Caenorhabditis elegans: one gene and its partners. The protein of the gene in region 4 purifies or fractionates together with the protein of the main gene of each other region. This does not show direct contact. Each region holds a gene or a part of one and is shown on either strand. Other genes may lie near its edges.

Region 1 (7,713 bases), on a different chromosome or scaffold from region 4:
TAATATTAGTCTGTTAACATTGTCTCGCAAAAATATACTAATTATTCCACTCTGTCTTTGAAATTTCAGTAGTTTTTCTTAATTTGAAAAAGTTTCCATCTTGTTTTTAATTTCGCGTTTCAAAAATCATTTTTCCGTAATACTTATATACATATTTAATACAAACCCATCTAATAACAAATTCGTGATCAGGTTCCACTGTTCCAAAAGCAGTTCATAGAGTTGGGTTGATAAATATCTATTTCATCTATCATCGTAGCGCTGAAAATTAACAAATAAGTAAAAATATTAGATAAAATCAATATGCAAAGGAGTTTCGATGATTATTAGTATAAATTTGAATGACATGCTATCATGAAAACACTCCTGCCTATTCAAATTAGACTCTTATCACCGGTATGCTTAAACGTATTCACTGTGTATTTTTCAGAAATTTCAATCATAATGCTGGACATTAGGAATATTTCTTTCCATTTTATGTTCCGTGTGTTCTCATTAAAAATTAAGGAAAAAAATGAAGTAGTTTTTAAAACAATTTTCAGGCTAATTTTTGTAAATTACAATAATGTTTTAAAGTTTTGAGATTCTTCCAAATTAGATTTGAGGGCATTTTTTACTGATTTTTTACTTTAGCACACTTAAAGTGATTTACCACATTTTCCCAAACGACAATTCGCAACCTTTTCGGTATCTAAAAAGCGGCCCGTATTATTTGAAGACCTTAAACATTGTGGGGAATACCAAAGAACTAAAAATAACTACTGAAATATTCTCAAAAATTGCTTTGTGAACAAATTTGAGAACTCTGCAAAACATTAAACAGACAAATTATTATATGTTCAGTTTCAGAATTAAATATGCATTGAACTGTAAATTACATTCTTAATACTGTTTCTAGTTTTTTTTTTCTTGGTTATCACTTTCAGTATGAATGATCTAGTCCATAGTTGTCAAACTTTCAGCTGTTGTGTTTTTTTTTTGAAAATCAGTTTTTGTAACCTGAAATTGAAAAATCATTTCGGTTTGGAGAATATTTATTTGTACAAATAATGAACTGGCAACAACTTTCATAGTCTTATATGGTTTCAGATGATTGTGCCAAACGGACACAATTTATCTGGCTCCAACCGTGATTTATAGACAAATATTGTAAGAATAAGGAAACCGGATGTCATGCTTGAGTATGTTCGAGGTGTATTATGAGATTTCGGGTTTGATAAATGTAAGGTTCTAACAATTAAGTACAATAGTACAACAGTTTTGAAACAACAGAAAATAGAAGAAAAAGAAATAAAAGTCAATTAAAATTAAAAAATGAATATGAACATGTAAACAGTTTTTTGTAAAAAATAAGAGAAAAATCAAACTGGAGAAACGTTTCTTGGCAAGAAAAAAAATTATTGAACTATTAAAAAAGGTATTAGTTTTAGAAACTGTTCAAGGTTCGGGCAATTAAATTTACAATAACAATGTTCTCATAAAAAATCCTAATTATTGACAATTTTGATACTTTTTGATTTTTTCTGATATTATATTTGAGCCAACGTAATGATTTTCAAATTTCTCGATTTTCTTTTCCAAAAAAATTGCATAGTGCTTCAAATTAAGAAGTTCCTAAAGAAATCTAGGATGGTGAAATTTTTCATACAATCTATACTATTTATTTACTAACTTCACTTCTATTCCTACTGAAGATTCAAGAAAGTTTTCCCAGTTTGCTAAATAGTAACGTGATACAAAATTCATTGATCCGTAATTGCATTGAGATCATTTTCAACTCTCGGTTTTTCGAGAGATTACGCCAAGGATCTCAGATTTACAGGTTTTTCGTATTAGGAATGTCGGTAAATTAGGTGTAGTGTTTGAGTTCTTCTTGCTGTTCAGCTTGGTTGTTTAATATTTTTTCAACATTTTTTTCGTTGCTATTATTGAGATCCGTGTAGCTAGAACTTATTGAGTTGATGACAACCAATTGCTGATGAAGAGGAGAGTTATCAGCAGGAAGAAGTCTATTTCCATCACCTTGATGTGGTGGCTCACTGGGTCCGGAATTACGTTTGCAAGAACGTTTCTCAAATTTCATCTGGAAAAAAAGTAATTTCATTCATGAAACAAGTAATATTCTTACCAGGAAAACAGCTGTAATCAAAACAAAAAAAATAATTCCAATGACAATTGCACCAATTGCACCAATTGTTTGAATGAACCCAGTCTCGGCAACTTCAACAGTTGAAGAATATTTTTCCAACTTTGATGTTGCATTTGTATCCGGATACAGAACTTTGACAATATTTCTGATTGCATCTTCACAAGTATAATCCATCTCGTTAATATCATTCAGACAAGTTGACAAACGAGTTTGACAGTCTCTTCCAAAAAATTGAATGCAATATTCGAACATGAACCCACATGAAGCAACAACACCTGCAGATCCTGTTTAGATAGTTTTTTGAAAAAATTTTTTTTTAAATTTTTGGTAACTTACTTTTCGATGCGCCACATTCCGAAGAAACACTATCAAAGTAGTCAAGAAGGCGAAGAGGCAATTTTTCAGATGCTTCCAAAACAAGAAAATCATTTTTTGTATCTGAAAACATATAATTTAAGTTGAACTAAAACCAAGAAACACACCTCTTCTAGTCATCGATCCATCAACAAATGATGTAAATCCCTCATTGAATCGACCCCTTATACTTGTAGTCGAAGAAACTTTGTCTGAAAAATTAAGTGGAAAAATACCCCTTTGACATTTGGCGCTCTGTTCTTGCCCACGTTTCGCCCAAAAATGTAAACTTGAATCAAAAGAAATTAACTTGGGTGAGAGTTTGGCAAAAGTTGGATCAACGTTGCGTTAAACTCGGGCGCAGCGTAAACTATGTATTGTCTTTTTATCGAAACTAAACATTTTTTGAGAGAAACTTGGACGGGATGACGAGAGATTTGTTTAAAAATTTAATTTTAAAAAAATCCATTTTAAAATTATCTGAATCTTGATAAACTCATATTAAAATTCTTACGATGTTCTGCAGCTTCCTTATAGAAATCCTCAGCTCTCAGTGATTTTAAGTTTTCATTAAAATCAACGAACATCTTGCAAACCAGTTTTTTTGAATCCATTGTTCCCAGTGTCATCTGAAAATTGGATAGCTTTGAAAATAATAATTAATTCTGTTTCTTTAAAACCAACAAAATAATTTTTAAAATTACATAGTTTCCTTCGCTGTATGCTTCATCACAGTCCTTTTGATCTTTTTGTTGGTCGTAGCAGTTGACACGTACAACACTATGATGATTGAAATCCACTAAAAATTAACAAGTTTCATAAAATTCTTAAAGAGTAAAAAAGTACTTACAAGACGCTTTATCACAAGTTTCATACGCCAATGACCTCATGATCACTTTTCCTATTGGTCCAAATTCAGTTCCAATGTACCAGAATGGATATGGTATGTGCAGTCGTTGGGCATTCATACTGTCTACTGAAAATCGGTCATTTTCTCTTAAAGTTAAATTTTCCAATAGTGAATCTAATAGGAATTTATAAAATGTTCATATCTATCGAGAATGATATTGAAGGTAGATTAGCCAAATCTGGGTTATTGCTTTAATACACGAACTGTCCGTAAAATTTCTTCTGTATGGACAAGTGTGCAAAATTTGAGATTTGTGTTGAAAATAGCCTTTTTTAACTTCGTGTCTCCAAAAAATACTTTTGAGAAAATTTTAAGAATTATTGCTATTAAAAGACTTGTTCACCGTTTTAATACGGTAACTACAAAAGTACAGAAAGTATATTTGACCTCAAAAAACCCACGTTTAACCAGAGTTTCTTGGAATGACGTCTTCGAATTTTGGCATGTTGTAGAGTTGAGCATTTGAGACTCGAGATTACGAAGAATTAAGTACTTCTGAACATTATTTAGATAATTTTCAATTATTAAAGGAAAAACTAACAAGAGTCAAGTTCAAAAGTGGATTCTGAGTGTCAAGTTGGCTGACAGCTTGATGTAGTTTTTCTTCCATTTCTGACACCACGCCACAATTTTTTAACAGACTAGAAAACGCATCTGAGAGTTTCATAAAAATTGCTTCTAGTTTATTCACAACTGTTTTCGTTCGATTTTCGGCGATCGTCTTTCGGTATACTTCTCCTTTCGTTCGCACCGACTGACAAGAGTCTCCAAAATGTTTCTGGCAAGTTTCGGTAGCTTCACTGACGTGTATACAAGTGCAGTAATCCAATTTGCAGTCCTCAACAGATCTCAATTGTCCAAAGCAATCCTCGTATTTTGGTACACAGAAATCAATTCGTTTCGAAAGATATGGACATTCATTTCGGAATCCTCCTCGGGATAAACTAGCTGGATAGAGAGCATTTGGGTATTTGATGGTGTTGATGGAAACTATAAAGAAGTTTGAGTGAATTCGTTCTTGGATTTCGCTGCTCTTCTAAATTTATCTTTAAAAGCAACAAAATTTCCCTCATTATCATTTTTCAGTTCATTTTTAATGCTACTAGTTGTAATCCGCTAACAGTCTTGAGTTCTGAAAACAATTGACAGTTCGTTCGTTCAAAATGTATCTGACAAGATATTATGGCTAACCATATTATTATTTACTCTAAAATATGTATTATTATTTATCTCCGAAATTTTTTTTAACAATTTAACTTACTGGCTGTGGTGGCACTTATCGCCAGAAGTGTAAGGAAGGCCAATTCCAGAACCATGATGGCACGCACATAAAAAGTGGACCCGGCGATGCTTTAAAGATGTTCCACTATCCAATAATGCGACTGAAAATCAATGTCGATATGAAAACGAGAATATGATAGATAGAGACGGTGAATGACGTGATTGTTTGCGAACGAACAGTGCAAACCAAAGTCACGGGTTTTAAGAAAAATTACTAAATTCAATTTGCAAGCAGGAAACATCAATTAAAGAACAATGTAACTTTGACAGAGTAACTATGGAAAAGAAACAAAACATAAAAAGCGCCTGCCAAGGCGGGAAAATGAAGAGTTTATCGGAAACAAACATATGGTTCCGTAAGAGAAAGAGCGAGAGAATGAGAGATAGAGAAAAACGATTTGAAATTGAGTGACCGTTTGAATTTTTAATAAAGTATTTGTTAGAAAATTAATGTAATTAAATGATTTCGATAGTGCGTATAAAATTAGATAGAGTTTTGTTGAACAAGCCTGATGCGAGTCCAAGATTTAGACTGCTCTGCAAACATTATATGAGAGGGCTAGACACGGAGTAAGATGAAGAGAGTTTAAAGAAAAAATGTGATGGGCGTCGCTCATAACTGTTGTAGTATGGTTTCTACTTATTGGCTAATATTTATGGACCATTTGAAACAGATATTAACAAATACTCACTTAAAAATAAATACGGAAAAAAGTACTACGAAATTACGTAAAATTGCGAAATTGATCGGGAACCGGAAAACAAAAATAAGGTATGAGATTGTGAGATAAGCTGCATCAAAAGAAAAAAGAGATCCCAGAAAAAAAAAGTTCTGTAAAAATGAGTTTCAATTACCGGTAAAAAGTATCGAAACAACTAAAAATAAAATTGTGCGCATTTGTTGCGGCTTTTGGACATTTCACATATCTATGTGGTAGAATGTCCTTGATAAAATACTTTTGATTTTACATGAAATGGGCGGGATTTGAAAGTCCTCGGTATGACGTGTTCATTAGAATGGCATAGGACAATTCATGATAGAATAACAATATCAGGATTTTGTTGTAAGTTCATCTTCAAAAATTATTCAGAAAATCCGAATGAATTATCCTCTAACCTTGAATAATCAACTAAAAATTAGCAACGTCGGGAAAATTTCTCGATAAGTTCAGTCGGTAAAGAATAAATTTGGATTTTTGTAATTTTGCCAATGTTCAAAAAAAAGCTAACAAAAATTCTTAATCGTAAATACACAATTACCAATAGTTCTCGCAAAAATGTATCTAGGGAATGTAGTTGGAAATGACATTAAGATCTGATTTTTCTAATTTAGTTAGGCATAGTTATGGTCTCTCTAATCATCGATATATATGTAGGTAGGGTTCACAATAGTAAGACTAATAGCAGCATTTAAGTATATTTTCCATTTTGAAAACATGTTAGTGTTATCCTTATAAACATAATAAGTACAAATAGAAAAAGGAAGGAAGAGGAAAATGAGTATGATAGAAGTAAGAAACTCAATAATGAGTCTGCAAACACTTGTTCAAGGTGCTTGATTTTTGAACAAGCCAGTTCAAAATGATGGGATACCGGGCGAACACTTCAAACTACGCGACTTTTTATATATATTTTCCAGTGATTAATCTATTTGTTTTAGAGTTACTTTGAAATGTATATAGGTGCTTCTTCGGATGAAAAGTTACGTGTAACAAATTTAATTAACACTTAGTCATAGCACATCCTAGCACATAGTAAAACATTTTGTGAAAACGAGTTGCTTTTCATTATCACAAACGTTTTTGTTTATGAAATTTATAAAGCTGTACAAGTATATTTTTCGCGAAATGAATAGTTTTTGCACTGAATGCTGATTTGAAAAATCCTTACAGAAATTAAGAAATTATATGATAATGAGGTAAAAACTCTCGAAAAACAATAAAGATCCACTCACTGTAATTTTAAAAATTTTTAACACATGCATACATATAAAACTAATATCGGAAAAAAAGAAAAATACACCATTCAAAGTTGAATAAAAAGCGATCCATCAAGGACATGTTTGAGTGAATAAATGTCAAGTTAACTGAAAATGGAGGCGATCGAGTTCAACATCAACTAGTCGACAATGCAACGTTGATTTGGCTCCACATTGGATTAACCTAATATCCGTTGTTTTTTTCAAATTGAGGCGGTGAAAAACAATAATGGAGGCAGAGAGATGTTAGAGATATTTTCGAAAAATAATTAAAACAACTATAAAATGTCCCAAAGCTGTAGTTTTGTCATAACTTTGTATTTGACTTTGAATGAAATAAATAAACCAGGAGAAAATCGAGAAGAAACTCATTAAAACGAGAGAGATTTCGCAATGACACATAGGTCATTAATCAAGCATGGCGATCGTCAATGCCGTTGAATCTTGTTTCTTTGAGTTTTTTTCGCAACTTTCAGAAAAATTTTGTTTGTCTATAGATATAAAGTAATAAAAAATCAACTAGAAATGACAATTTTAAAGAATAAGAAAATTATGATTTTATATCAGTTTACAGTTTAGGGAAACATGAAGTGCAATGAACATGTGTTATTGCCAAAAAATAGCGAGATAGTGCAATCCTGAAAGAAAAATATGAAAAGTATTACCGTTTCAGAAAATTTTAGTTTTTTCACAGCAGTGACTCCAATGATGTTACAAACACGGCCGATTGTATTGATGATCATCCTATCGGAGCAAAAATTTCGCTAATTTTTGTTTGTTCGACACAACCACTACCATATGTCTTCGCCTTATCAAAGGTCAAATGCTGTTAAGAGTCATCATTTTAATTAAAGATAAAAATAATAGACAGCGCAAAGAAAAATACAGGTATGTTGTTGACTAGAAAAATTGAAACGTTCTAGCGCAAAAACCGTGACTGGGCCAGTGGTTTTAAACATTGAATTTGTCAATTTCTTTGCAATCAAAGCTTGGTAAAACTTCACTAACTCCAAAATTTCTTTCGAGTTGTGCTTGTAGTTT
Region 2 (4,951 bases), on a different chromosome or scaffold from region 4:
AATTTTTGGACAATTGTTATGTGCTTGAGGTTGCTTGTTTTCATTAACAAGAGTTGAAACATTGAATAGAAATTTAGAATTATTGATGCTAATTGTAAGTACAATAGTTTGATTATATGATGCTAATATATGTAATTGAAAGAAAATTTTTATTTCGGTCAAAACGTCACGCTTACTCTGTTTCTCTCACATAATTTTAGAATTCGAACAAAATAATTTTTTTTTTCACGATATGCCCAACATTTCTCAAAACTCTGAAAAAATGGACAACTTGCCAAACGCTTGATCGATTTTTGTCCTATTTTTTAATACATTTAAATAAACTTCCTAATGGTGCTTTTCAGCTTTCGAATCCTTAAATTGTGAGTTCAAAAAAAAACGGTATTTAAATAAATGTCATAAGTTTGGATGAATGAGTAAAAAATTACCATCAGCATGTGATTCAGCATATCCACTATAATTTCTGACTTGTACCAACTTCTTTGTGATTGAATTAGATTTTTTGAGGCATTCTGAGTTTGATGAGGATATCTTCTGATTCTCCACAGTCTCATCATCATCATCCGCCCATTGAACTTTTCGAGCTCGTGTCATTTTTTATTTGATTGCTAAAAAATTAGAGAAAATATTTATAAATTTTGGAAATTGTAATAGAGAAGTTTAAAAAAGGATATGATACATGCATAAATGTTTTGAAATGATCAAGAATGAATGGAAAACGTGCGGTTTTATAGTCAAACATGAGGGAACTCATTTTGAAAACTGAGAATAATGAAAACAAATATGACTGATAATAGAAGGCGGATTCTATTTTTGAATTCATACATCAAAATTCGAAATACAACAGTTTGTCTGAAAATGACCCGAAAACCATAGGAAGTGACCAAATACAGATCGAATGACAACAGATAGACTAGTTATTTCAGAGAAATTGAAATGGCATGGACATGAACAACGTTTGATTTTTTGAAGAGAAAAATGGATTATGTTATGCAAATCAGACAACGACTTTCAGAGAATTTGGGACAGTGATCAACGAATCGAAAGGTCTCGAGTACCGAAAAAAAGATATGTCAAATGACGGTTAAACGACGTCATCTAAACAAGTATGACTATGAAATCAGTGAAAATTCTAGAATTACAAATCAAATAATCATGTGCCTATTTTAAGTCCAACTGAGCACAGTCTAGCACATTTTAATATCAGTTGTTTGTTTCAAATGAAAAATGTTTAAAATAAATTTCAGGCTTTCCAAATAGAACCAAGACCGCTTTTATGTCTGTCTTAAATGCGAGCCTCTTCTTGTGTAGAAACGTTTGCAACTTTATAATAAATGATTACTATAAACTAAAAATGTTAAACTTGTAAAGAGTTTCAGCTGTGCCACGTAAATCTATAACTTACAAATACCAAAATGTGGACAGATAGGAGATAGGTAAGCACATTGACAGGCAGGCACGTACGCTTTGAGGGACCTTATGAAAACCATTTAATTTAAAATTGGCAATTACGTTTTAAAATGTTAAATTTTTCATTCTTGCCCAAGTTTTTTTCGTTTTCTTTTGAGGTATCTTTTAAATTTTACCCTATTTTGGGTATTTTAATACGAAATTCCTTTTGACGCTAGATCCCCTTTACAAATAGAAAGCAAAAACAAAATCTTTAAATCGAGTGCTTTCAACACAAAAAATTTCGAAAATAGTCCGTTGTTGTGGACATTTCCAATGGGAACATTGTTTTGATATTCTTTGGTGTAACTTCCAGTTTTCAATTTACCCAAAACATTTTATAAGTTGCATACATAAATTATTTAAATTGAACACAATCATAGCACGGATTGTTTTTAATTTCATCTAGTTTATTCCCAAAAAGAATTTGCGGAAGTTATACCTGTTGTTTTTTAATTACAAATAAGTATAGCTAACTTAAGATTTGATTTATATGATTGTTCTAAATATACATAACTGTTCTAAATCAATTTGATCAGAATAAAATATTAACTTCAAACCAAAGGAAAATAAAGAAAAAATTTTCTGCAGAGAATTGAATGAACCGTCATGAAAATGGAAAAAAAGTTTATATTTTCCGTTGCTTGACGCCCCCATAACTGCCAGGGCAAATGACAAAACCAATTCGAATGGGAAAATATTGAATGGAATATGAAGAAAATATATGATAGAAAGATGTGATACATTTATGAATTGAATGTACGTTCGAACTGTCAATATTTGAGTGGGAGAAGCTATATGACGTCAGTTTTTCATGAAGAATATGGCAATTGGAAAACTCACGGCCGACACATCGGCAAGGCTTGAAACATATTTACTCTAATAAAATAATGAGAAAAATAACCAAGAATGGTTGGTACTAGATCTCTACAATTTTTCCAGCATTTTGAGTTTATTGTTGTCAAAATGTCAAAATGTCAAAATGAAGATCAAAATGACCACGGAAGGAAATTGTAAGAAACATTGTACAAAACAAAATTCATAACTTGATTATTACCGATGGAGTTTTAAATTTTTGTATATTGTTAAAATGCACGTACTGGTTTTCATTATTTTGGTACAAAAATTCAGGTTTTTCAACAGAACATTTTTGTCAAGCCTATAGGCTTGACAGAAATATTCATTATAGGGAAGACGAATAAAAAAAAAACTTTTCCTTTTTTTAACTTAAAAAAAATTATCACCAAAATTAATTTCAAAAATAAACTTTGTCATGCTTATCACCACGTGAAATCTGACTTCCCATTTAAAATGAAAAAAAAATCAAAAACTCTCTCATAACGAGATTCATACAACGAAAGATCGTCGAGATCAATTCATTTCTCGATTCTTTTCTAACGTACGATGAGTTCCTTAGCAGAGATTCATGGCTTGGCCCAACTATTGGTATTGGTTTTTACTCTCGTCGGTGAGTTGGATAATTTTTAAAAAAGCTGTGTGCAAATATATCTGCTTTAAAAAGTCGCTAATAGTAATATTTTGCGTGAATTTGAAATCAGGATTTTTTCGCTGAAAAATTACAACAGTCGAACGGAGCTTTACAATTCAATTTTTCAGTTACTGCCCATCTCTGTGGCAAGAAGGGCGCAAAGAACAAAAAGAAGGAGGACAAGACAAAAGCAATGTCGGCTATCAAAACCACCACAATGGGTTCTACTACAGCCAACATGCATCCAGCAGAGCCTGTAGTGGAGAAAAAAGAGGAACCAAAGGAGAAAGTTCCAGAGAAAAAGGAGGAGGAAAAGAAGGACGCCACAAAGAAGGAGGAAGCTAAAGAGGAGAAGAAGGAAGAGGAAAGGAAGGAGGAAAAGAAGGAAGAGTCGAAGGAAGGGGAGAAGAAGAATTCAGGTGAAGAGAAGAAAAATAGTGGAGATGAGAAGAAGGAGGAAGGAGGAAAGAAGGATGATGCTAAGGATGGGGAGAAAAAGGAAGAAGCTAAGGAAGGAGATAAGAAGGATGAGGATCAGAAGCCAAAGAAGGAGATTGTGCCAGAAGTCTTCAAAAGAACTTCTAAAGAAAAAGCGATTGCTGATGGTGTCAAGAAGAAGAAGACGGACTATCCAACTATGGAGGACGTTCCAAGTGATTGGGAGAGTGAGAAGAAAAAGAAGAAGAAGACTGAGGCAGATGATAAGGAATAATTCATTGGAAAAGCATCCTCTTTCTTTTTTGTATATTGTAAAATTATGTATTCTCGTCCTCCATAGCTTGAGGCTTTAGTAATCATGATGACTTTTAATTAATGTTGATTAATTCAAGAAGATGTGAAAAATTTGATTTAACTCTTCGCTGATGGCTCATCCAGTTTGACTCAAAAATTTGACATTGACCGATTAATAGGGCACACAATCCTGAAACTGGTTCCAAACTAATTTTTTGCAAGTATTTAATAATTTCTTTTCAGTCAGTGTCTAATATTTGTTAGCTGACATTTTTTGAAATTATAGTGAAAAAATGGCAATTATTCAGTTCTCAACAATAATAATTGTATAAATCAACCTTAAAAAGTTTTCCAATTCTCATTTGTATTTAGTACTAGTACAGTATTTCAACATTATATAGTATTTCAAATCTGCATTAACACTCAAAGATTGTCAAAATGTTTAAATTCAACTGGAAATCTTGAAAATCTACAAGTTTTTGGGAGGTTATTGAGGCAATTTGTTTGTAGTCTTCAATTAAAGTTCTTCTCGGGGAGTACATGACACATTATCGATAGAGCACGTTTCGAACTTATTTTTTATTTCCACAATCCCCAATAACACGAATAGTTTAAAGATGGTATTGAAAGAAAAGTTTTCGAATTTTTTTTAGTTTTGAATTTTGAGAAGTTTTCATGAAGTTTCATTATGAAATTCGGTGTTTTCAGACAATTTTGAGTCTAATAAAGCAATAATAAAAATTTCCATATCAATTCTACCAAAAGGGCACAATTTTTGTTTTTGTTTCAACTTACAGATTTCTTGTTTCATTCTGTAAAAATTCGTTTTTACAGAATGAAACAACAAGAATAAAAAATCTGTTGAACTAAAAATAGAATTACTGTTTCTGAACGTTGTTATTTTTTACCGTCTCAGAAAACGACCGATCAGTCATTACTGTCAAGTATTTCAGAACTCCATCTCTATAAAATCATAAACTGGTTGGTGTAGATAATCGAGTGATTTGAGACTAATTTTTTCAAAATTGGATTCTTCTGGATTCAACAATGCTGTTCCTATTTGTAGATCAAAGATTGTTGGTACTTTGTTTGAAAATGGTATAGGAGGATATGGTTGATAAGAATACAAATGAGTTGACATTGGAAAACCAGCTGGCAGAAAATTCAAATTTCTTATTTCTTAATTTGAATTTCTCACGGTTTGAGAAAAATTTCTTGTTCTTGTTTCTTGGGCAAAATTTTACCAAAAAATTTCCAAGAAATTTATTTTTAGAGTTTAAA
Region 3 (4,607 bases), on a different chromosome or scaffold from region 4:
GACGTAGAAGAACGTGGAGAAGATTCTCCATTTTCTCCCAAAAACTTGTCTGATGATTTTAATGGAGAGCATTCACCATTGGTAATTCTTTCACTTTCATTTTCTTGAAATGGTTTTCAAAACTTGTAGGTGATAACTCCATCCTTGCCTGTACCACCGACACATGGAAGCCCTCGACCACTTATGCCATGTGAAACGACAAAAGATATTGAAAAATGGTGGAATTCCCTTGTTGATTAGTTCATTTTTTAATTATTTACATTCTCTTGTTGATCTATCTTTTTTAATGTATTCAGGTTATATTGTTACGAGGTATTCAAAAACGCTTTACGAATATTAATTGTGCTTTCACCGAATGAACAGATTTTTATTGGTTTCGTATATAAAATTTTTCAGATGTTTTCTTTTCAGGTTTCCAATGTAGTCCTTAATTTTGTACGATTAATCAAGAAAAATGTTTTTATTAGCGAAACTATTAGTGGGTAATTTAATTGATTTTTAGTTAAAGAAATACTTTTTAAAACATCTGAAAAAGCTGTAAAACGACGACTTTAATTTTTTAAATATAAAAATACAGCATTTTTTGTCGAGAAATAAAATGTGTTTCAGTCTGCATTGCGTACACGACACTTTAACGTACGACAATTTGCTAGGCACTGTGCAGAAGGAGGAGACGCAGAGACACATCTGCGGAGCGTCGTAACAAACACGTTTTTCTCTTTAAAATTTTTATTTTCATTTTTTACTACTCGGTAGAATTGTCACATATTTTTCACTTTTTAGGTCAGAAAATGCTTATTGACGAAGTCCTCGGTCCTGCGGAATCTGGAAAATTCATCGTCGAGCATGGAAATCTCGTCAAAATCAACCAGGCAGGCGTTCGAAAAGTAGCAGAACATGTAAATCCTAAAAATAAATGTTGAATGAATGTAGATTAATATTTATAGATTCTCGGAGCTGCAAAAGATGGATCTCTGAAAGAAGCTCTTTTCTTATCGCCGGAATTACACCCGAAAAGTGGAGATAAAGATGCCGTCCAGTGGTGAGAAAACTTAAATTGTAACTATTCCTCAAATCTGATCTTTTTAAATTTGAAATCATATTAAATTGAATTAATTTCAGGGTATTATTGGTGGATACAATCAATTTCTCATTCTGGCCGGATGAGGGAGATCACTATGATGTTAGCTGGGGTGGAAAAGCTTACACTGGTTACTTCGCAGCATGTGCCGCTGTCAACAAGGCTATAGCCGCCGGAATTCCAGTACTTTCTGCTGAATGGATGAAAAATGTTGGCAGAGAAGAAATCGACAGGATTTTCAAATCCGATTCAGGACACTCAATTCCACTACTTGACGATCGAGTGAAGGCTATCAATGATTCAGGAAAAGTTCTTCTCGAGAAATTCGATGGACAATTTTATAATTGTGTTATAAAATCAGAGAAATCCGCTCAAACTTTGCTGAAATTAATCGTCGAAAACTTTGTCTCTTTCCGCGATTTTGCCGAATTCAACGGACAAAAAGTTTCGCTTCTGAAGAGAGCACAGATTCTCGTTGCGGATGTCTATGGATCCCTTCAAGGTCACGATGATGCGGGAAATTTCAAGGATATTACCACGATCACAATGTTTGCTGACTATCGTGTTCCGCAAGCTCTCGCTTATCTTGGTGCTCTGGATTATTCAGAAGAACTTTTGAGCCAATTGGGTGAAGGAAAACGATTGGAGAATGGATCAAAAGCGGAAGTTGAACTCAGAGGAGCATCTATTGCAGTTTGCGATGTAAGATTCCAGATATTTCTGAAATTTTGTTGTATTAAACGCTAAATTTTCAGGAAATTGTCGCCAAGATGAACGAACTTCGTGAAACCGATCCAAGATTCTCTGATGTTTGTGAAGTTAACGCCATGGAAGTTGATGTCTATGTCTGGGGATATCGTCGACTTTATGCTGCGGATGTTGAAAAGAAAGTCCCGTTCCACAGGACTCGCTGTATTTATTATTAAATCTGTATATGTAAATATTAGTATTTAATTTTTAGTGTGAATTCTAGTGATTTTAGCTTTTCGTATCATCTTCTGTTTTCATTCCGTGTTTTTTTTCTTTCACAGGTTTTAAATACTTTATTTAACACATTCCATTGACACTTCACTTTGAGCCTTAATTTGTTATATGAATTTTAACATTGTTTTTATTTTGCTGAATTCTTTTGTTTTGGTTGTATACCAATTTTTTAAACTTATCCTTGTTTTCATTTAGTTCAAATCTTACAATTTTTTTTCAAGAACCATGTTCAAAAAATTCGACGAGAAGGAAGATGTGACAGGCGCTACTCAGCTCAAGTCCAGTGTTCAGGTATCATCTTTAATTTTAATTAACTAATAATTATAAAAATTTTTAGAAAGGAATTCGCAAGAAGCTGATCGAGAACTTCCCCTACTTGGAGCCACATCTTGAGGAGATCCTCCCGAAAAAGGAGAATTTCAAAGTGATCAAATGCAAGGATCACATTGAATTGCTCGCCGATCATCTGGGTGTCGTGCGATTTGTTAAAACACGTAACACTGATTACATTCCAACTTTGAGAACACTTCACAAGTATCCATTCATTCTTCCACATCAACAGGTTGGTTATAAATTGATTATTTACCTGGTTCAACATTTCCATTTATTGATGAAAATTCAAATTTCAGGTCGACAAAGGTGCCATCAAATTCATCCTGAACGGATCTTCAATAATGTGTCCTGGATTAACATCGCCAGGAGCTAAACTCACTCCTCTCGTACCAAAGGATTCAGTGGTTGCTGTGATGGCTGAAGGAAAGCAACATGCGTTGGCAATTGGTTTGATGTCAATGAGCAGTGAGGAAATTCAATCTGTGAATAAAGGAAACGGAATTGAAAATCTTCATTATTTGAACGATGGGCTGTGGCACTTGGCTGAAAAATCGTTGAACTGATGTGCTCGAATTCCCGGTCGTCGTGCTCTTTATCAGACTTCCAATAATTTGAGATGATCTTTATTTTATATGTCCATTTTGGGATTTAATTTATATTTTCATGCACTTTCTTTTGTTGTATCTTTTCCTTTTCCATCTCGATTCTCATAAAATTTCCAAAGTTTTCCGTCGAGTTTCTTGATTCTCTTTTCTTCCCTTTCAATACGCCACGCTATTTCTTCCAGTTGAGATTCCTCATTTTTGCGAACTTGCCTGCAATTTCTCAACATCAGAGCGAAACAAAACAAACTTCACTTACTGATTCGCGTGATGAGTCTGTCGTAATGCGTGAAGTTGAGTTGTCAAGCTGCTCAACTTAAAGGCTTTCTCCGAGAAATCATCGACTAAAACCTGAAAAGAATTGTCCAGAGCACATTGATACTTCTCGGTTACTTCATTGCAAACAGCCAAGCATCCAAGAGCCTCACTGATTTTATTATTCTGCTGCTCAATGTTCCTGGAAAAATTATTTTTGCATTAAAGTACACATGAGCAAATATTATCTCGCTAGGTATTTGGCGGGAAAACTGAAAATTCGAGCGATTTCTAAATATAATTATTACCATTTTCTAATCATTCTCCGTCTATTTTGATGTGTTTCCTGCTGGCCTAAACATGCATTTATAACAATTAATTCGGCACGAAAATCATTTAACAAACAACAGAAAAAATAACAAAAATGTTTGATAGCTGACAAAATCGGCAAAACTAACTGAAAAGTTTAAATTTACAGTCTTGGCACCTAATACGAGACCCAACTGTGGGAGGCGGGGCGGTTTTAATTGGCTGTGGAGCGCGTTTCCACATCGATTTCAAAGGGAACATTCTGCTCCTTTGAAATCTCTTCTGCGTCCCCATAATAACTCACAATTCAATAGCATCAAGAAGTCCCCGCTTCTCGAAATAGTTTGTTCTCTGAGCATGTAGATTTCCCTGGATTTTCGCAAATCTAAATTGAAATTTCTGAAAAGAACTTTCTCAAACCAGGTACCGGATATCTCGTCGCGATACTACAGTAATCTACAGTTCATCATACTCCGGCAACAGTATGATCGCTATGAGATATTATCGAAAGAATACGATCGCACAATTTTCTCATAATTTATTTTTGATTTACCTTGTTGACTAGGCTCCTCCTCTTCCTTTGACAAGACAGCCACAACAAAATAACAACGGCAACAAGATCAACAGGTAGATCAAAAATATATTATGAGAAATTTGTGCGATCGTATTTTTTCGATAATATCAGGGAAGTGATTATGTTCAGTAATTTTTGTAATTTATAAATTTTGGAAGATTTCACAAAAGCTATTAAATAACTTTTTTGCGGGACAAGAGACTAATTGCAAATTTTTTAAAGCTTTTGTTTATCTCAACCGGTGAAACAGTGAAAAAGCTTATGAAACATTTGTGAATTTTTATACTTAAAATTCTCATCAATTCAATCTCACAACACGAATATGTGTAGAATTCGAAGCCGAAAAAAATATTTTTTTTAATTTAGCCGCCTTAAAAATTCCAAAGATAAATTCCAAGAATAGTCGCGGACTTCGTGATGAAAAAAAAAATTTACTGTTTCAGAACTTTAATATCTTTTCATATAATCA
Region 4 (7,212 bases):
GCGCGTGGTCCTGCGTGACCATCAAAAATCGCGAAAAATGATGCACGAGACCTGAAGAGGGAGTATTGGAAACTGTGAGACTTGGACTTACAGAAATGATTTTTCGGTTCCTAAATCGAATTTTGGAAGCATTATGTGAGTGTCTTGCATGTCAGCTCGTTCTCCTTTTCGACAACCGTACGCGGCAAGAGTGCAGTAAAGATCTTTAAATATAATTGGTATTTTTATTATTTCAGGCGCGAAATTTTGTGTTTCTTGGACCAAAAATACGGTACCCAGTCTCGATACGACAATTTTTGTTAAATACGAACAGATGTGCGTCTTCCGAATTTTTTTTATTTATTTTTCAGAGTTTTTCTCTTGATTTTGTAAATGTTTTAATCCATAAATATATTTTTATCGAAAAACTACAAAAAGTCGATAAAGATTCTGCAACTACACAAGTTTGAAACTACAGTACTCTTCAAAGGCGCACACCTGTTTGTATTTAATAAAATTTATTACTGAGATCGTGGTGAGACTCACTCTGAAACAACCAGCGTGCGCCTTTAAACTGAAGTTACGATACTTTTTTTTAAAATTGAAATAAATTTTGAAGGTTTTTCGAGGCACCACGGTTTCAAGATCTGATGGGATTCCGGATCTACGTTTTCCGGATCTACCATTTCCGGATCTACGTTTTCCGGATCTGGCACCGTGCCAACGCACAAAACGCTTTTCAACGCACGACTTTTTTCGAAATTTTCTTCTAGAAGAAACGCTTAACAATACGCGACGGGTAACATCGGAGCGTCGTTGTCACTTTTTTCTTCGAAAAAAATAGCGATTTAAGAGTTGGCACGGTCAGATCCGGAAAACGTAGATCCGGAAAACGTAGATCCGGAAATGGTAGATCCGGAAAACGTAGACCCGGAATCCCACCAGATCTTGAAACCGTGGTGTCTCGGCTTTTCATGAATTTCCAGTTTTCAAAGTTTTTCTATTTTTTTTCTATTTATTTCAATTTTCCCAAGCAATTTTTTTCAAAAATAATCAATAAATACTCACTTCTCGATTCCTTCGGTTTTTTCGATTCATCTGAATTATCGATCAAGTCATCAGAACTCCGTTTTCTGCTATCCGAGTACATTTTCTGTAAAACAAATTTGTTAGCTTGGAACATTTATGCACATTTTTGGTTTTCCTTATCGAGATTTTTCAACAAAAAATTGTGTTTATCCTGTCTAAATTTAAAATTTCCGCCGATTTTGTAGACGTGCAAAAATCGCATTGATATTCGCTAAACAACACGCGTAATCGTTATTTCGGAGTGTTGTACGAACCGCCGAATTGATTTTGTCCCTCCTTCTCTCTTGTTTTTGTGTGTTCTCTATTCAGAAAGTAGCGAATTTATTAAAATTTTCAAATTTGATTAATGAAATATTTAATTTGAAACAGATTTTTCATGTTTTTGCTCCAAAAATCAATAATTCCAGGATGGCCGCGTCTCTCCGTCATATGGCTCACTTCCAGAAGGCACTTCTCGTCGCCAGAAGCGCTCCAAGAATCTCAACAATCGTTAGAGCCACCTCTACTTTAAACGATGGAGCCAGCAAAGTTCCAGACCACTCTATGCACTTTAAGGTGGGAATTTTAAGGCTTAAAAGCAGAGGATAATCATAAATAATTACAGCTTGAACGTCTTTGGGCCGTTGGAATGCTCCCAATTCTTCCAGCATCCTACTTCATCCACGGACCAGTTATGGATGCCGTTCTCACTGTTGCCCTCACTCTCCATATTCATTGGTAAGGGAATTAAATCGATTTCACATATTATTTACTGAAAAAGATGGAAAATTTCGAAAAAAAAATCATAAATTAATTGTAAATATTATTAACAACAAAAAAATCAAAATTTTTCAGGGGAATCCACGGAGTCGTGTACGATTACGCTCGTCCATACGTGATCGGAGAGGCTGCTGCAAAGGCCGCTCACGTCGGAGTCTACCTCATCACTGGTCTTCTGCTCGGCGCACTCCTCCACTTCAACACCAACGACGTCGGAATCACCAAGGCCTTTGAACTAGTCTTCTCCCTCTAAATCAGTATTGAGAAGTTGAAAAGCTTTCATAATCCGTGTTCCGCCTGTTCATCTTCCCCGCTTCTCTGTTACTGCGAAATTTCCCCCGGCCTCAAGATTTAGTTCCGAGTTCTTTTCTAGTTCGAATTTTAATGTATATTCTTCCAAATGAACTGTTCTAACATCTGCCGAATTGATGAGATAATAATGAACGAATTGGATTATTTTATTCCAAATATTATATTGATTTTATTCAGATTTTTAAAGTTAAAAAATGAATTAAATATAATTATATTCAGATGGTTCACTCAGATGAATATAAAGCGAAACGACTTGAAAGGAAAAAACGGTTTATGCAACAAGCGAAGAAGAACAACGTTTTTAAGGTATAAATTAAGAAATAAATAACAAAATTTATTTAAATTTATATAGAAATAAATAACAAAATTTATTTAAATTTATATAAAAAATCAATTTTCAAGGCTCGCCGACGTAACAACTTCTCAAAACGACCGAATTTCCACAATCACCAACAGGAAAACCAACAGGAGCAACAATTTCAAAAACAAGACAGCACAGCTCTCAGACAACGTGGATTCTTCCAAGTTCTTCCAACTGATGACCTTCCACAAGTTCCGCAGTGCTCTCATGGTCCTTGTCTGCTGTTCGAGAAGAAAAATGGTCCAGAAGTCGAGGAGACATTCTTTGCATGTGCAATTTACAGAAATCAAGCCGAATTTTGCGATTTTAAGTTGACTTTCAACAAAGAAACCGGAGAAATTGAGGTGAAAGAAGCTGTCGAAGGAGAAGAAGACGCAGAGAAAAAGAAGAAGAAAAAGAAGATTTTTGGATATAATCGAATCCCAAAAGCGTGAGTAATTAAATGTTTTAAGAAATTTCCGAATAAAAAATATAATAATTTAATTCAGTCTCACCGAAATGTCACCAACGGACACAGTTCTGTATTGCAAAACGTGCATTAATGTGTTCCCGAACAAGCATGAATGTGTCTGTGAGCCCGTGGAACGAGAGGCTCTCGAACGACCAACTCACCTTCTTCCACCAGTAAATGAGCAACATGGAGAATCAGTGAGTATTTTTGCATTTCCAAACGTTTTTATTATCCAGACGCTAAATTTTGCTGGTTTCGGCACGACAAATTAAAATGGCGAAAAAAAAAACAAAACGGATGTGCGCCTTTAAAGAGTACTGTAATTTCAAACGTTCGATGCTATGGAATTTTCATCAATTTTCCATAGTTTTCCCACGATTTGTTGAATTTTATTTGTTTTATTTGATTTATTTAAGTTTTTTGAAAATTCGAAAAAAAGCGCTTTCAAACGCAAATTTTTTTCTATTTTTCCATAGTTTTTCGTTGAAAATATTTTTTATTTATCAAAATAGTATATTAAAAACAACTAAAAAAGCACATAGCTTTAACAAATTTCGAAAAAATCGATTAAAAATTGTGCAGCAACAAAAGTTTGAAGTTACAGTTCTCTTTAAAAGTTAACAAAAAAATTTTGTGTAGGTTCACCTACTTTGGCTCAAAACAATCTGCACATTTCATAATTATCACCCCAATTTTCAGCAATTCTTCTTCTCCACTGAGACACTTGATGTCATCACGAAAGCTGTTGAAAAATCAAAAGTCGACGGAATTCTGTGCATCGGAGCTCCTAGAGTGAGTTTTTTTTTTGAAAAACGAATTTTCAAAATCAAAACTTGGAAACAAAAAACATTTTTTTCAGATCTTTGAAAACATTCGAGCCCTTCACCCGGAAAAGAACGTGTTCCTGTTGGATTATGATAAACGATTTGTAAGTTATTAAAACCATTTCCTTTTCAAAATTTATCTATTTCAGGCCAAGTTCTTCCCATCGAAACAATACGCTCAATACAGTATGCTCGTTGATCACTTTTTCGATAAAATCGCAGAGCCAAAGCTTATGGAATTCTTCGATAAAAGCAAAAGCATCCTAATGATCACCGATCCACCATTCGGAGTTTTTATGGAACCACTGCTAAAAAGTATTGAAAAGATGAAGAAACGATTTGTGTCAACTGGGAAAGAGGAAACCTTATTTTATTCGATGATTGTTCTGCCGATTTATATTCGAAAATACGTGCTTCATGGAAACTTTTGGATGTCTGATTACAGAGTTAGTTTTGGAATTTTTTTTTGCTCAAAGTGAGCAGAAATGACCAAAAAACCGAATATAACTTGTAAAAATTTGAAAAATAATTTTCTAAATTAAATAAAAACAATGTTAGTGGGTTTAAAACTAAATTTTTGAACAAAATTTTTTTATTATGAATTTTCAACAAAGAGGTTTTTTTTAATAGAAACATTCAAATTATTTTTGAATTCAATATTTTTTACTTTTTCCAACTATAAAGAAAATCACAAAGTTCTAAATTAGCCTTAAAAATCGAAAAATGAACATTTATTTTAACTATTTTTTTTGCGAAAAAACGTCCGAAAATTTTATAAATTATGTTTAAAATCAAACAAAAAAACCTATCATTATACTTAAATATAGGCGGAAAACGAAAAAATGTCGAAACTAGGTTGCGGGAATTTAAAAATATTTCGGCCCTGTTACCACTTAAAAAAAAAAAAATTTTTTTTTAAGTAAAAAAACAGTTTTATTCGGTTGGGACTATTTCCTGCCATTTAGGGCAAAAAATGTATTGAATGTTACTTTTTTAAAATTTATTAAATCATTTTCCAGGTCACCTACGAGGGCCACAAGCTCTATCAACATTCCGAGAAAACGATCGTCCGCCTGTTCACCGATTTGCCAGTGGAATGCATCGATTTAAAGAACGTCGCCGGCTACAAATTCTGCGAAGTCTGCGATCGCTATGTCACCGAACGAAATGTCCATTGCGATCGTTGCCAGGCGTGCACATCAGTGGAACAAGGAAAATGGAATCACTGCGAGAAATGTGATAAGTGTGTCAAGCCGAGATATGTGCACTGTGCTCAATGTGCCAGATGTCATTTGTACGGGAGATGCATTCAGAAGCATGATGAATAATTGTTTTTTGGTTATTTTAAGGTTGTTCTGTTGAAATTGTTACCCTTTTTCTTTTATTGTTATTGTTTTTTGTTTCCCATTCCCTCTATCCTACTACAAAAGTTTTTTGTTTTTCTTAAATCATCATTTTATTAAGATGAAAAATCGCCAATTGTTTTTTTATTCTTAAGATGAGAACACGAAATCCTTCTCCTTCTCTACTAGTTATTCACACTTTAGAATTGAATACTCCACACACTTATTCTCTATTAGTGTTTGCATATCCTTCCATCCTAACAGCTATTCAACTGTTTCTTTCCGCTCCTTCTAGGCTTCTGATGACGTGGCAGCAGCAGAAGCATAGACCGGAAGCAGATGACGTTGAAATTCGGACACTTCGTGTCGTGACTCTCATCTCTGTCGGGATTACTGTAGCTGCGATATTACTTGGATTATTTGGCAGTGTTATTTTATTTGCGAAGACTTTGACGTTTCAGGTTTCAATAAAAAAACATAATTTCAGCTAGCTTGAAGTCTATTGCAGAACGAACTAGAATATGAGCTACGATATTGTGTGTCTAGATCTCACGATTTATGGGACATTCTGTCTCAGGTTAGTTTTGTGGAAAGAAGCCATTAAATGGGCGGAGTCTATTTTAGCTTTTTATTTATTTTTTAGAATATTTTTCGGAAATCGAAAAGTACTCGAAATATATTAACATACAGGCTCTGCCCATTTCTTGGCTGTTTTACATTTTCACAACAATTTATCCAATTTTTGCTGAGTTTCAATTTTTTTTAAAATTTCCTTTCATGTTTGCTGTAGTGTAAGCACAAACTTGCCTTATTCCTACCTTCAAGGCGACCTATGACTGCCTTGCGCCTACACAATAAGCACCGTAGGTAGGCGATAGGAAGGCATGAGTGAGGTACTAACGACGCCTCGAGCAGAGGAATGTTCGAAAAAGTGTCTAGAAAATGTAAATATACATTTGTCAGAAATAAATCAAGTTTTTTTTTCGAAAATCAGAAAATATTTTTTAAAAACCATTTTTCACAATTTTCGTGATAGCTTTCTACTACATATTTTCTATTTTCTGAAATTATTTGTATCGTGATTCCGTAAAATTTTGACATGCCAGTTTAAAGGTGCATGCGTAAATTCCGGCTGGGTCTCGCCACGATCTCAGCCACAGTGTCTCAGCTACAGGTGGCAAATTCTACAGATTTTATAATTTGATCTAACTTTACGGTTCCTTTTCCAGCTCGAAACGTCAAAAGGAGTTGCAATTTCCCAACGTCGAAAACGCCAATTCTTCATGAATTACTGTAACGATGTGACAAATTGTGGTGGACCATCGGATTGTGGTCAGGAGACTGGGTGTGCTATACATCCAGTGCATTCATGTGGTGGAGGTGGAGGATGCTCCCAGCCAGTTGTAGTTCAGCAGCCAGTGATTCAACAACCCATTGTTCACAGCCCACAGCAGGTGGGTAGTTCCTGCCTGACCTGAGTTTTTTCATATTTAGTTTCAGCAATTCTGTATTTTCGGTCCACCTGGGCCTCCTGGAATTCCGGGCCTTGATGGAAATGACGGGGACGATGGATCCGAAGGTTATCCTGGTGTTCCTGGAGCTAATGTTCCAGATACCGTACTTCCAGAAATTGATGATTTCTGCTTTGATTGCCCACCAGCGAGAAGTGGGCCGCCAGGGCCTCCAGGACCAAAAGTAGGCCTATTTGTTAAAACTTTTCAATCAGTCAGTCTTTACTTACAGGGCCCCCGCGGTACTCCAGGTCCAACTGGCCCAAAAAACTTCTATATTACATCAGGCCCACCAGGCCCCCCAGGTCCTCCAGGCCCACCCGGTAATCCGGGAGGCATTGGTCCTCGCGGCCCACCAGGTGATCCAGGCATAATGACTCAAGACTCAAGAGGTGTCGAAGGACCAAGTGGACCATCTGGACCACCTGGACCAATGGGGTTTCCTGGACCGAAAGGAATCGATGGATTTTCACAAGTGGGCTCAATGGGTCCACCTGGAAATCGAGGAGCTCCTGGTCGTGTTGGCTTGAATGGCCCGAGAGGCCCACCAGGAGATATTGGGCCTCCTGGGTCTGCTGGAGGA

Evidence for each region.
Region 1: the proteins of F33A8.4 (region 4) and C44H9.5 fractionate together in Caenorhabditis elegans (co-fractionation; one large-scale study listed by BioGRID). This does not show direct contact.
Region 2: the proteins of F33A8.4 (region 4) and K08F4.5 fractionate together in Caenorhabditis elegans (co-fractionation; one large-scale study listed by BioGRID). This does not show direct contact.
Region 3: the proteins of F33A8.4 (region 4) and C11D2.7 fractionate together in Caenorhabditis elegans (co-fractionation; one large-scale study listed by BioGRID). This does not show direct contact.

What each region holds. Positions count from the first base shown.
Region 1 is NC_003283.11:12,845,070-12,852,782, forward strand, and holds C44H9.5 (uncharacterized protein), read right to left. Parts: upstream 4,796-7,713; 5' UTR 4,730-4,795; coding exon 4,675-4,729; intron 4,404-4,674; coding exon 3,955-4,403; intron 3,909-3,954; coding exon 3,815-3,908; intron 3,480-3,814; coding exon 3,354-3,479; intron 3,303-3,353; coding exon 3,208-3,302; intron 3,133-3,207; coding exon 3,018-3,132; intron 2,716-3,017; coding exon 2,632-2,715; intron 2,588-2,631; coding exon 2,486-2,587; intron 2,434-2,485; coding exon 2,129-2,433; intron 2,084-2,128; coding exon 1,850-2,083; 3' UTR 1,022-1,849; downstream 1-1,021.
Region 2 is NC_003282.8:10,133,767-10,138,717, reverse strand, and holds K08F4.5 (uncharacterized protein), read left to right. Parts: upstream 1-2,800; 5' UTR 2,801-2,853; coding exon 2,854-2,917; intron 2,918-3,066; coding exon 3,067-3,650; 3' UTR 3,651-3,786; downstream 3,787-4,951. Other genes in the region: K08F4.12 (Ovule protein), read right to left, coding at 429-594.
Region 3 is NC_003282.8:6,153,076-6,157,682, reverse strand, and holds C11D2.7 (PUA domain-containing protein), read left to right. Parts: upstream 1-2,286; 5' UTR 2,287-2,290; coding exon 2,291-2,356; intron 2,357-2,402; coding exon 2,403-2,627; intron 2,628-2,694; coding exon 2,695-2,961; 3' UTR 2,962-3,059; downstream 3,060-4,607. Other genes in the region: unc-77 (Sodium leak channel NALCN), read left to right, coding at 1-81, 130-240; C11D2.4 (Queuosine 5'-phosphate N-glycosylase/hydrolase), read left to right, coding at 792-899, 948-1,042, 1,123-1,783, 1,837-2,007; C11D2.3 (BLOC-1-related complex subunit 5), read right to left, coding at 3,060-3,213, 3,260-3,457, 3,869-3,949.
Region 4 is NC_003280.10:11,044,177-11,051,388, reverse strand, and holds F33A8.4 (CTCHY-type domain-containing protein), read left to right. Parts: upstream 1-2,358; coding exon 2,359-2,445; intron 2,446-2,541; coding exon 2,542-2,930; intron 2,931-2,988; coding exon 2,989-3,148; intron 3,149-3,650; coding exon 3,651-3,743; intron 3,744-3,810; coding exon 3,811-3,879; intron 3,880-3,924; coding exon 3,925-4,221; intron 4,222-4,794; coding exon 4,795-5,103; 3' UTR 5,104-5,420; coding exon of another isoform or gene 5,421-5,579; 3' UTR 5,580-5,603; downstream 5,604-7,212. Other genes in the region: ilkp-1 (PPM-type phosphatase domain-containing protein), read right to left, coding at 1-51, 92-203, 1,048-1,129; sdhd-1 (Putative succinate dehydrogenase [ubiquinone] cytochrome b small subunit, mitochondrial), read left to right, coding at 1,477-1,623, 1,673-1,785, 1,903-2,080; col-83 (Nematode cuticle collagen N-terminal domain-containing protein), read left to right, coding at 5,421-5,579, 5,627-5,695, 6,348-6,572, 6,619-6,813, 6,862-7,212.